Xenopus tropicalis: one gene and its partners. The protein of the gene in region 2 purifies or fractionates together with the protein of the main gene of each other region. This does not show direct contact. Links are inferred from orthologs where the notes say so. Each region holds a gene or a part of one and is shown on either strand. Other genes may lie near its edges.

What was found.
Region 1: the proteins of mink1 (region 2) and nck2 purify together in Homo sapiens (affinity purification with mass spectrometry; 3 studies listed by BioGRID and IntAct, counting the BioPlex papers as one, with this or other methods). This does not show direct contact. The link is inferred for Xenopus tropicalis from reciprocal best matches to the Homo sapiens genes MINK1 and NCK2.
Region 3: the proteins of mink1 (region 2) and strip1 purify together in Homo sapiens (affinity purification with mass spectrometry; 3 studies listed by BioGRID and IntAct, with this or other methods). This does not show direct contact. The link is inferred for Xenopus tropicalis from reciprocal best matches to the Homo sapiens genes MINK1 and STRIP1.

What each region holds. Positions count from the first base shown.
Region 1 is NC_030678.2:110,108,230-110,112,499, forward strand, and holds the start of nck2 (cytoplasmic protein NCK2), read right to left. Parts: upstream 2,801-4,270; 5' UTR 2,758-2,800; intron 1-2,757. UniProt on the Homo sapiens protein: Adapter protein which associates with tyrosine-phosphorylated growth factor receptors or their cellular substrates. Maintains low levels of EIF2S1 phosphorylation by promoting its dephosphorylation by PP1.
Region 2 is NC_030679.2:147,595,649-147,599,148, forward strand, and holds part of mink1 (misshapen-like kinase 1), read right to left. Parts: intron 3,416-3,500; coding exon 3,359-3,415; intron 2,287-3,358; coding exon 2,161-2,286; intron 2,070-2,160; coding exon 1,959-2,069; intron 1,082-1,958; coding exon 991-1,081; intron 692-990; coding exon 561-691; intron 442-560; coding exon 387-441; intron 1-386. UniProt on the Homo sapiens protein: Serine/threonine kinase which acts as a negative regulator of Ras-related Rap2-mediated signal transduction to control neuronal structure and AMPA receptor trafficking.
Region 3 is NC_030678.2:72,084,791-72,089,058, reverse strand, and holds the start of strip1 (striatin-interacting protein 1), read right to left. Parts: upstream 2,801-4,268; 5' UTR 2,794-2,800; coding exon 2,668-2,793; intron 44-2,667; coding exon 1-43. UniProt on the Homo sapiens protein: Plays a role in the regulation of cell morphology and cytoskeletal organization. Required in the cortical actin filament dynamics and cell shape. Part of the striatin-interacting phosphatase and kinase (STRIPAK) complexes.

The DNA of each region.
Region 1 (4,270 bases), on a different chromosome or scaffold from region 2:
AGTCCTATAATGTTTAATACCTGTAGTGTATTTTTTTTTTTTTTTTATGTGTAGAGATCCATGCCCCTTAAAGCTACTGTACCATAATAATATATCGGCCATCTGCTATGCCAATTGAGTTCAAAATCTATAGAACAACTGCATAAAAAGTGATCTTAAAATAAACACATGTTGTTCTACAGCATCATACTCACAAGACTGTGCGTAAGCACCTGCATTGCACTGTATTTTTAATGCTCCTTGCTCTGTTTTCAATCAGCTGTAAACCAAAGTTTGCAATGCAGTCTGTGAAAGCACATTTATAGCCTATGTATATTTCAACATCTGCTGCCACCCACTGAATCTAAACACACCACAAATGGCCAGTGAACATGGAGAGACTGTGGAACACAGAATACTGAAAAAGAATCTCTGTATCAGGAGACTAAAAACAGAAAAAAAGCTTACCTGCTACCTGAAACACATTCCTTTTCTCCATCTGCAGTTACATTTTACAATGTATGCATGGCAATATCCTAGTTGTTGTATAAAGTGATCACTTATACATACTACTGTCACACATACATAACTACAAGCATGGACAAAATATTGTGCATTTATAATCATATTGAAAAAAACAAACAAACATACACCCTATGTGTTTAATGCAATGCACATTAATATTTCAGATGCATGTGGATACACATCCTGCAACAGTAGTTGCCAAACTGTGGGTATGGCCTCACAGGGAAGTACTAGAAGTACTAGAAGGGAGGGCCAAGCCTTAAAGTCAATTTTGGATAAGGAAACCCTGATTCACTGAATGGTGCCAATATGTTAGGAATGCTATATACTGGCTGCAGTATCAGGTATTTCTACCTCAGCAGAGTACAAATGGAAATTTTTACCCTACTGCATATACATCTCAGTCTAAATCTAAAGCAGGACACCTGGGTAATGTAACTAAGATGGCAGGGGTGGCATTTATTTTATATGCAGGCTAACAATTCACCTTGCATGGCCATACCCTTAAGAGTAAATGCTTATCAACTATATTGGGCATGCCTAGAATTTCAGTAAGTGCATGTGTACTTATATTTGTAAACTTATTAGGAGCCAAGGAGGGGGCTGTACCCAGAGGTGATCAGTTGGATTGAGATCAATCTTTTTCGCTTGCATCTCAGCAAACCAATTTGTGCAAGATGGGTATTAATATACTAGACATAAAATGACCTTGCCTAAACTGTTGCCACAAAGTATAAAGAAAGAAATGATCAAGAATGCCATTGTTCACTGAAGCTTTAAGCTTTGCTTTTAATAAGACCAAGAACCCTATCCCAGACCATTAAAAAGTGGACCCAGACACCTATTCATTTCCAGCTTTATTGTCACCCTTACACATTCAAGCAGGTAGTAGTCCTACTTGCATCTACCTTACCCAGACTAGACTAAGTCAGACGGGCAAATGCGAGGAATGATTCATGCCTTGAGAGAGGCATCTTCCACCTCCTTGGAGTCCAGTGACATAGATCTTTACACCACTCCTGCCAACACATGGCATCACACATAGGGGTATATTTATCTTGCTGTGTAAAAAGTAGTGATATTGCCCAAGGCAACCAATCAGCAAGCAGATTTCAACAGTTAGAAAACCAAAGCACCTGATTGGCTGCTATGAGCAACATCACCGGTAATGTTTCACTCCACATACTCGTACACAGCAATATAAATAAATCCCATAGTGTTGTGTGCTGCTGCTCAACAGAATAAACACTTCTGATGAATAGTTCTAGTGCTGACATTGCATCCAGAGACAGCTTGGAATCCAGCAGCAAATGTGTTAATACTGAGAATATGTGATAATAGAAGGGTATTCACCCCACCAATAAAACCTAAAATGCCCAAATTCAGCAGCCCTCAGTTATGTCCAACCTTCTTTAGCCTTTGAACTCTAATTCCCAGCAGCCCATGCCAGCCCACATACACCTAGCTGCCACATGCTGGAGGTGGTGCATGATAGGAAACAACTGTGGGGCTGCAGGTTGGCCCTGCTTTGCACTTATCACAACCACTCAGCTTTAATATCAATGTGCGCTAAATCTGCGCCCCATCCCCGCCTTCAACTCATTTATTGTGCGAGGATCGAATTCATTTACAACTGCACTGAAAAAAAGAGTCCCTATTGCAAGAACTTACACGCCAGAAAGTAAAGGCAATAGCACAAAGGCTTCCCCCACGCACTAATGTATTCACACAGACAATATGCAGCGCTACAGACCCGCACACTGAATACAATCATTCGCATGTAACAGCAGCTCAGTGCGCGAAGCAGCTGCCTGGGGACCCTCAAAGGAAGGGCCAGCATCGGTGGCGAATGGGTGGGTGACTTCTGGGTCCTAAAGGGAACCGGCAGCGCTGCAGGATTACCGAGCCCGTTCATGTCAATGAGCTGCACACTTGTGAAGGGAGGGCGGGAGCGGGGTGCCAGCATGTTCTTTCTCCTACACAGCTTGTATTCTGCTTGTTCTGTCACAGAAGTTTTAGTCCCGGGAACTGAATAGGGTAGGAGGGAGTTTGAACTTCACCCCCAGCTTAACCAATCCAGCTCTACCGGGACTAAAGCTTCTGTCACAAAACCACTGGTACAGAAACCTATGTATGGGAAAGAACATGCTGGTACCCCAGCTCCCGCCCTGCCTCCCCAAGTCTGGAAGTAAGTGCATACTGCAACAGTCCCGCTGTTCCTCACACAGCCCTTAGTCCCGTATCGCTACTTACATCTCCCGAAGAGCTTGTTACTGCAGGCTCCGGTCCTACACACACTCCCAGCGCCACATCTCTCCTCACGCGAGACTGGCATCGCCGCTACACGTAACGCACTGACACATTGGCGCGCCGCCTTGTGGGAGTGACGAGCCGGCCTGGCTCAGTGTTACACGGTGGGAAGCTGCTAGGCAGCCGCGGTTGGTCAGCTCCCAATCTCTTTTTCCAATGCTCGCACCTCCTACTTTTGATAGAGAACAAAAGAAAAAAGACTTTTCTTTGGTGTTGGGTGACCGCCATGCTCGCTGCCGCCTCTGCCCCCGATGTTTCCTCAGAAGTCATTCATATTTTCTAGTCGGAGTTCTGAATTGTGACAGGGAACGAAAGAAAGACTTTGTCCTTGTTGCCAACAGTACCTGCTGCCATCAGAGCCTTGTCTCGAAAAGCCACTGATACACACTTTCATATTTTAGCTACCTGAAATTAATGTAGATATTAAGATGTTCATCAAAAAAAGAAAAAGAAGCAGTGCACAAGCTGTTGACATCACAATATTTATAAAGTTTGTGTATACACCTAGGGGCTGATTTACTAAGACACGATTTCGAATCCGAATTGGAAAAATTCCGATTGGAAACGAACATTTTGCGACTTTTTTGGTAATTTTGTGTTTTTTTCGTATTTTTTGCGATTTTTTCGTATTTTTTGCGATTTTTTCGGCGTCTTTACGATTTTTGCGGAAAAACGCGAGTTTTTCGTAGCCATTACGAAAGTTGCGCAAAGTCGCGATTTTTTCGTAGCGTTAACACTTGCGCGCAAAGTCGCACCTTTTTCGTAGCGTTAAAACTTAAAAGGCGCGACGTTTCGCGCAAGTTTTAACGCTACGAAAAAAATCGCGACTTTGCGCAACTTTCGTAATGGCTACGAAAAACTAGCGTTTTTACGCAAAAATCGTAAAGACGCCGAAAAAATCGCAAAGAAAACGCAAAATTACCGATTATTACGAAAAAAACGCAATCGGACGCATTCGGCCCGTTCGTGGGTTAGTAAATGTGCCCCCTAATCTATGCTAGTATTTTCATTAGATGAACAATTCTCCATATTATAATTATTTTCACAAATGGTACTTATTAGAAATCTTTTATAAATGTATAGTCGCTTTTGGGGTGCCAAGCTACATAATAGTCATTATAGTTATTGTGGACTAAAGCTGTCCAACCATAAAACATATTTTATTATACAGGGGCACTGCGGCCATAAGGCGAATTGAGAAACTCGTCTCAGGCAGCAGCAGCCCTCAAGTTTACCAGGGGCAGCAAAACGACGTTTAAAGAACTTAAAAGTAGAAGGAAAGTCATTTTGGCATTTTACTGCCAATAGAGTCGCCAAATTATTCTGCAGAAAGCTTTACCTACCTGAGTAAAAAGCCTTTTGTTTAAGATAGCAGCTGCCATTTTAGCTTGGTCTCCGTAGCTTCCTGCTGCAGCTCTAGCCGTTGGTAGCTCAGATCACGCATTCTGATGGGAGG
Region 2 (3,500 bases):
TGCAAGAAATGTAAGAAAACAGAGAATATAAAGAGTCCTTGAATCTGTCAATGCAAAAATAGCATTGCTACATTCCAAGCTGGAGAGGAGAGAGCACAGTCAGATGGAAAAACAAGATATAAAGCTGAAAAATAGGTGTTTAAAGGGAAAGTAAAGCCTTAGCTAGGTTTGGGCACAAGTCCGTTTCATTACTGGTTGGGTTGGAGGGATGAACACATTACAGTCTGTCTCTGGCCCCTGGGCCAGTCCCACCCCTGCCTTAAGCTCACAGTGTCTTAACTCCTCCCTCACTCTGAGACAGACAGCACAAGCTGCCAATTAGATCTGTAAGTGACAGACGAATCAGGGCCCTGGTCAGTGATAGGGGCGTACGAGAAGAAACTTACGTGGGGCTCCCTCGGCCATTTCTATAGCTGTGATTCCCAGCGACCAGATGTCACTCTGCGGAGAAAAGGACACAAAATGGTAGGCAATGGTAGGCAATTGTGCAAAATTGTGTATAATGAATTCATTGGCAATACAAACGTCAGGAACCAATGGGGAGGAAGTTGACATCTTACCCTGTAATCATAGGTGGCATCTGGATTCTCATCGCAGGCAATCACCTCAGGGGCCATCCAGTATGGGGTCCCTATGAAAGTATTTCTTCTCCCCACTGTGCGGTCGAGCTGGGCGCTCACACCAAAGTCCACTGAGGGGCACCGTGATGGGAAGAAACAATGGAATGTTACAGAGCAGTCATTCTGTTCAGGGCAGAATGTGAATCAGGGAGAGGATCTAATGAAGGTACAAAGTGACCTAATGGCTTCACAGGGCCCTACTCCTATCCGATCACAAGCCCTTGGGCCTAGCAACTGGGTCAGACAAATGCGGCTGAGCAAACTGGGCACTCAAACAAGTGGCCCCTGCTGGGTTGGGCTAGCCAATGAGCAGGACGTGTAGCCCCATACAGGCTGGGGGAAGCCATATGGCAGCGAAGCTATGACTTACCGAGTTTCACCTCTGCATTCTCTGTGAGAAGGACATTCTGCCCCTTGATGTCTCTGTGTATCACTTTGTGAGCATGTAGGTGGGACAGCCCCTGCGCAAAACAAACAAACAAAAAGTTATACTGCTCTCTAATATCTATTACATCATGAAAGGATTGCTTTATGGCACCAACTGCTTGGACTTATACATATGGGTAAGGAGGTCCCATAGTGTTTCCCTTAGACAGTACAGTATGGGGGTACAGCTTATTGTGTGCCCAGAACATTCCTTCTCTGTATATTTGTATTTATACAAATGGGTAGGAAGTGCCATAGTGTTTCCCTTAGACAGTACAGTATGGGGGTACAGCTTATTGTGTGCCCAGAACATTCCTTCTCTGTATATTTGTATTTATACATATGGGTAGGGGGTGCCATAGTGTTTCCCTTAGACAGTACAGTATGGGGGTACAGCTTATTGTGTGGCCAGAACATTCCTTCTCTGTATATTTGTATTTATACAAATGGGTAGGAAGTGCCATAGTGTTTCCCTTAGACAGTACAGTATGGGGGTACAGCTTATTGTGTGCCCAGAACATTCCTTCTCTGTATATTTGTATTTATACATATGGGTAGGGGGTGCCATAGTGTTTCCCTTAAACAGTACAGTATGGGGGTACAGCTTATTGTGTGCCCAGAACATTCCTTCTCTGTATATTTGTATTTATACATATGGGTAGGAGGTGCCATAGTGTTTCCCTTAGACAGTACAGTATGGGGGTACAGCTTATTGTGTGCCCAGAACATTCCCTCTCTGTATATTTGTATTTATACATTTGGGTAGGAGGTGCCATAGTGTTTCCCTTAGACAGTACAGTATGGGGGTACAGCTTATTGTGTGCCCAGAACATTCCTTCTCTGTATATTTGTATTTATACATATGGGTAGGAGGTGCCATAGTGTTTCCCTTACACAGTGGGGCTCACTTACCCGCAGAATCTCCCTGCAGATGTAGGCGATGCAGTCTTCCTTCAGGGCATTTCCTTTGGTGTTTTTCACTAGATCTGTTACTGAGCCGGCTCCGCAGAACTCCATGACCAGCTACGAGGGGGGGGGATACAACATACATAAACCTCCTGCCTGCATGCAGCCAAATCCTACAGGCTGGTGCGCAGAGCTTGCAATCACTCACCCACAGCTGGTCGTCATTGCCCGGCGGGCTCTTCTTGATGAAAGCTCCGTAGTAGGTTGCAATGTTTCGATGATGAGAGTACTTCTTCAGCATATTAATCTCCTGTTTAATCTCCTCTTCCTCGTCCTGCCGGGGAGATGGGTGCATTAGGGCCGAGTGTCGGCACAGAGCTTACTATTCATTAGCCCTGCATCGGCGGCAGCTCCCCGGCGCTCTGTACCTCAGTACCAGCACAGCCGCTCCATTAGGCTCATACAGAGCACTAGGGACATAATTACCCAGACTCCCTGGCTGGCACGGCCCTGAGCTTGTGACTGGGTGAAACGCTAACGAGCACATCAGTGCCAATCAGCTCGAGGCTGGGTAAGGGCACGCTCAGTGACAGTCATTTCGGGGGAGACACATATGAATATCGTTATGTAATATACAGAGATATATAGATATATATACTAATACACACAGACTCTGCCCAAGCATTATACCTGCAAACTAATGCTGCTGCTGCTAAAGGGCACCAAGTTTTTTGGAGAAAAACACTTAGTCAAAAAACACTTAGTCACTCCAAGTCCCTGTATGAACTCCTGGCCCCCCTACTTCCTCCCTACATTACATTACATTAACATTTATTTATAAAGCGCCAACATATTCCGCAGCGCTGTACAATATGTGGGTTTCATACATTGGACATACAGAGTAACATATAAAGCAATCAGTTACCGATACAAGAGGTGAAGAGGGCCCTACCCAAAAGAGCTTACAATCTACAAAACCTAGCAACCAAACTGCACTCCTGTGTTGCTTTATGGCAAAAACCATGAATGCCCGGAATGTTTAGAACCTCTAACCCAGGGGTCCCCAAACTTCTAACCCAAGGGGCCAGATCAAGGGTCCCTCAGACAGTTTGGGGAGCCGGACCGCCATCACCAGCAACCCCCCCCCCCCTTCCCGCCGCCAGGGGGGAGGGTGCTGATGAATAAGCCCACATCCTTTTTCATATCCCGCCCGGCATGTCCTACCTGTACCAGTTGCCCCGGTCCGTCCATCATCTCAGCTCCCCTGTGCCGCTCCCCGCTGAGTCCTCTCTCTCCACTGCCAGGTGGGAGGACGCAGCGGGGGCCGGGTAAATTCCTCTGGGGGGCCAGATCCGGCCCGCGGGCCATAGTTTGGGGGCCGCTGGTCAAACCCAAGGGATTCTTACCTCTGTGACATCCATGACCTTGATAGCGGCCAGCTGCCCAGTCTTGACATGGCGGCCCTGAAGAAAGACAACAGACATTACTTGGGTACAGTTCCCCGGCCTGACTAAGGTCCCTCTTTTGGACAGACCCAAAAAGCTGTTC
Region 3 (4,268 bases), on a different chromosome or scaffold from region 2:
AATCAGCATATATAAACTCTAGGTCCGGAGACTCCGAATAGCCCTAAAATGAACAGAAGTGCCATAAAAAAATAAACAAAAAAAGAAACCCAGTGCAACAATTTTAAATTTATTTTATCATTCAAGTTGGCAACAAACAGCTAAAACACTTTATGGCATATTTATGTTTTCTGTCTGCACACATAAAAATAATTACAAAAGGCATGTAAATAGTATCACCAACAAATGGTCATCTTTGATGTATACTGTAGAACAATAAATCATCAACATGAAGACTGCGGTCTTGGAAATATGATAGTTCACAGGAGAGACTGGGAGATGGACCAGTCAAATTGTTCTATCATTATCAGATTGTTAGATTATACCCAAACAGTCAAACTAACAACAATTTTCAGACCTTCCCTTTAAATCAAATAACTAATATCTGTGGTAAGAGGATGTCTTATCTGATCATTCTTTGGACACAAAAGCCCAGAAAGTCATAAAAAAAAACCTTTTATCCAAAAACATTGGAAGGCTAACGGCTCTGGCACACGGGGAGATTAGTCACCCGCGACAAATCTCCCTGTTCGCGGGCGACTAATCTCCCAGAAATGCCATCCCACCGGCAAAAATGTAAAAAAAATGTGAGTTTCCTCTCAAGGCAACTTCCGCGATTTCAGTGAAAGCGCGCCGCCGCTTATGCCATCCCACCGGCGATTTACATTTTCAGGGAGATTTGTTGCGGGCGACTAATCTCCCCGTGTGCCAGAGCCCTAAGGGTGAAGACACACAAGGCGATTAGTCGGCATAAGTCTTTAAAAAGTCGCTGCGATTTCTCTACGCAGCGAAAACCTGTGTGCTATTAGTCGCAGCAACATATACAGGATCCTTTGAAGGGAAAGTCGCTGCGACCATTCGCCCTAATGGCACATGGAATGTTTTTTTTCCCCATTGCTGTAGATACACCAGCAGAGAAAAGCTGATCTGCTGCCTTCTGCCCCCTCTGTGTGCACTTCTAGGCAAGGGATATACCTGTTCACTCACAGAGAGCAAATACAAATACCTATTATTGCATTTCCACGCTGAATTATGTGTGGACAGCTTTCAATGCACTTGCAACTAGTCACAGAATATGACTGCACTCTTGGAAAGAAAAAAAAAATTATAACTTCGAAAGATATCAATTCTTTCTCATAAGACTGATGCAAACAAAACCATATTTCTTAGTAGTCTGGGAGATTTAAATGTAATCAGTTTTGAGACCTAACTTTATTCATAGATGTTCAGACACTGTACGTGTTACACCTTTTTTCCTCAAAGGCTAATTTGCTTAGGTAATATTTTCAGTAGCTCTTTTACTTAACAGGGAAAACAATGAAACTGAAAGTGATTTCATTTTGCAACCTGGTTCTTTAGAGTAACCGTGGAATAGGGTCACATTATAGCATAACACATTACGAGAGCAATTGTAAACCCCAGGTGATGAAGCAGTAAACACAGACCAATAAAAAAAAAAAAATCTCACTAGTAAAAGCAAGGCCATGCTAGGAGATCTTTTGCTCATTGAAATATTTTCATGAGTACCCAGGGCCCTCTACCCTCAGACTAACTTTCAGGCATTTTCTGTGAAACCATGTGACAGAGTGGTACATTTTTATACTATTTTCTTAAGTCTGAATCATGTTTACAGCCCAAAGAATTCTCTCCTCAGTTACTTTTACAATATGCACAGCTGCTCCCAAATACCATTTGTTTGTTCCACCCTGAGAAAGGTGCAAGTGGTGAAATCTTAGCTTTGCATTAAATTCAACTTTTTGAATAATACATGGGCATGATATTTCCAGGAACACTTTAGGGCTCATTTACGTCCACGAGTGCAATAGTGGTCCCCAGTTTCCCCCCAACCAGCTGCACCTAGCACCACTTTTATGTTCTCCTTCCTACCTTCCGTTCCAAATTGAGAGCTGCTGCACCAGGGGAAGCCTGGAGCTGCCACACACTTGCTGCACCTAAAGAATCAGGTACAGACCAAACAGTAGAACTGACGCCAGCTGGATTTTGGCGCAATTGCATCCAATTTTGGGTACACAGTTGCAAATCAGATACAACTGCAATAGACAGAGCAATTGTGCCAGGCGTATCACTCCACTGAGAACCACAATGACTCAAATTCTGGGGGAAAAAGCAACATTTTTTCAAAAACCTGCAGCAATTACGCTCAAAACTGCACTTTTCTCACTACATTTGCAGAGGTACATGTGCCTTTCTGTCACAGCATCTTCCTGCAGAACAGGAATATAATGTGTGATTCTAAATGAAATGCTCAACTTTCAGGATGACGGAGATTTAATTAAATATTTTTGATAACTATAGGTTATATTAACATGACAGCAACCACGAAGAACTATAATATATATTTTTGGTGAACAGTAAAACTAAGACAAGTCAGCAGTTTAGAATAGTTCGCAAAACTGATGTGAGATTCCTTTTGGAATGGGCTTTTTAATCAGGTAAGAACTGTCTTGTCTTCCTGTCACAGGTTCCCCAGACATACCCCGGTCACTAAGTAAGCATAAAAGCTGGCACACAGTTACATTACAAGGGTAATTCGAGGATAACTGAGTACTAATCAAACACAAATGTTAATGCAATATAGTTATACATAACAACCACTTTTACTCATACCTCTGAATCCTTGCGCTGTGTACGGTTGTACTCTCGTCCCTTGCCCGGTTGGGGGCTGCCAATTACCGCACCACCGATTCCTGTTCTCATTTTGTTGTTGACAATCAGAGAACCGGAAGCCTCCATCTTTCTCAGGCGACGCCCACGTGACGTGACACCGCCGTCTCAGTAGAACATTTGCGGTGGAACGCAAAGCCCAAGGCGTGTCTGTTTCTGCTTTCCAAACATCGCGATAGTATGAAGAGTCTCGCCCTTTCTTTGACAAACTGGGCGGCTTATAGAGACTGATGTATCGGCACCAGTGTGATAATCAGTGTTTTGTATATTCCTGTCTACATAACATGTATTTTATTGCTGAGACCTGCATTTATCTATATATCTAACCATGTATTCTCTGCAGTTACAGCGATGTTTGAAAGCCGGCTACCCTTAAAGGAAACGTTAACTCTAAATACATTCATGTAAAATTGGGCTTCTTGCCACTTTTATTAGGTATTCATAGATTTTAAGCTGGTAAACGTTTTTACACAGCTAATGCGTCTAAATTGAAATAATAGCACCATCTGCTGGTCAGTTCTATCAACCAAACTACAGTCAGAAAATTTCAGTAGAAGAAACTCTTGTAACGTTGTCAGAGTGCTTATACAATTGAGCAAAAGGAAGTGTCCAGATCTAGGGTATGAGCGCTGCAAATTGTGCACCTGATGTTTCTAAAAAGTAAAATTGTAAAATGAGGCAACACACATTAGCTATCCATAGATAAGTGAAATGCACAATTTACATTTTTAAGTTATCTAAATGGCCCCTGATAATGGGCAATCATTATTGGAGTACACGTACATCAGCAGTCAGGTGTCCTGAGATGAAAAGGCATGATTCCAGGTTCTTAAAAGGGATGGGGCTTGTGGATGAGTGGGCAAGGTTTTGTTGGAGTTTTGTCTTAAATTAAGCTTAGAGACAGGTTAGAACACACTGTATAGGAGGGGCAATTTTTGTTTCGTTGAGGCCCTATTTTACTTGAGACAGGGCTTACCATTCAGGGGGCCTAGGTGTCCATCAGACTATTAATTGGGACCCCCTGGTGAAGGTGGAGATCCCTGCTAATTTAGTAGGATGGGGCCATAGAACATACACCCTAGTTTGTAATTACAGTGATGAGAAAAAGTATTTGCTGCTCCATTGTTTTACCTGGTACTGCATATTTGCAAAGCGAGTTGTTTCCGAGTTTAAATGTAATATTACACAAGGGAAACTGAGCAAACACAAAGAACAGATTATATATATATATATATATATATATACACACTTAGGGCCGCTTGAGAAATCATGAAGCCCCCCACAACAAAATTTTCTGGGCCCCCCTCTTCTCATGTGCCCGCCCCCAGTGACCCCTCCCATCAGTACAAAGGACACACATACATTGTTAGCATTGCTGGCCAGGGCCCCCTAAAACATTGATTTACAAGTACATTAGAGGGGATTATAGGCAGATGGGGGATGTTCTTTTTTCCCATAAAAACAATCAATGCACCAGAGGTCACCCCTTTAGATTAGAGATTATTTATAGTTTATGTATGTGAGTGTATAGATTGGTAGGTGTG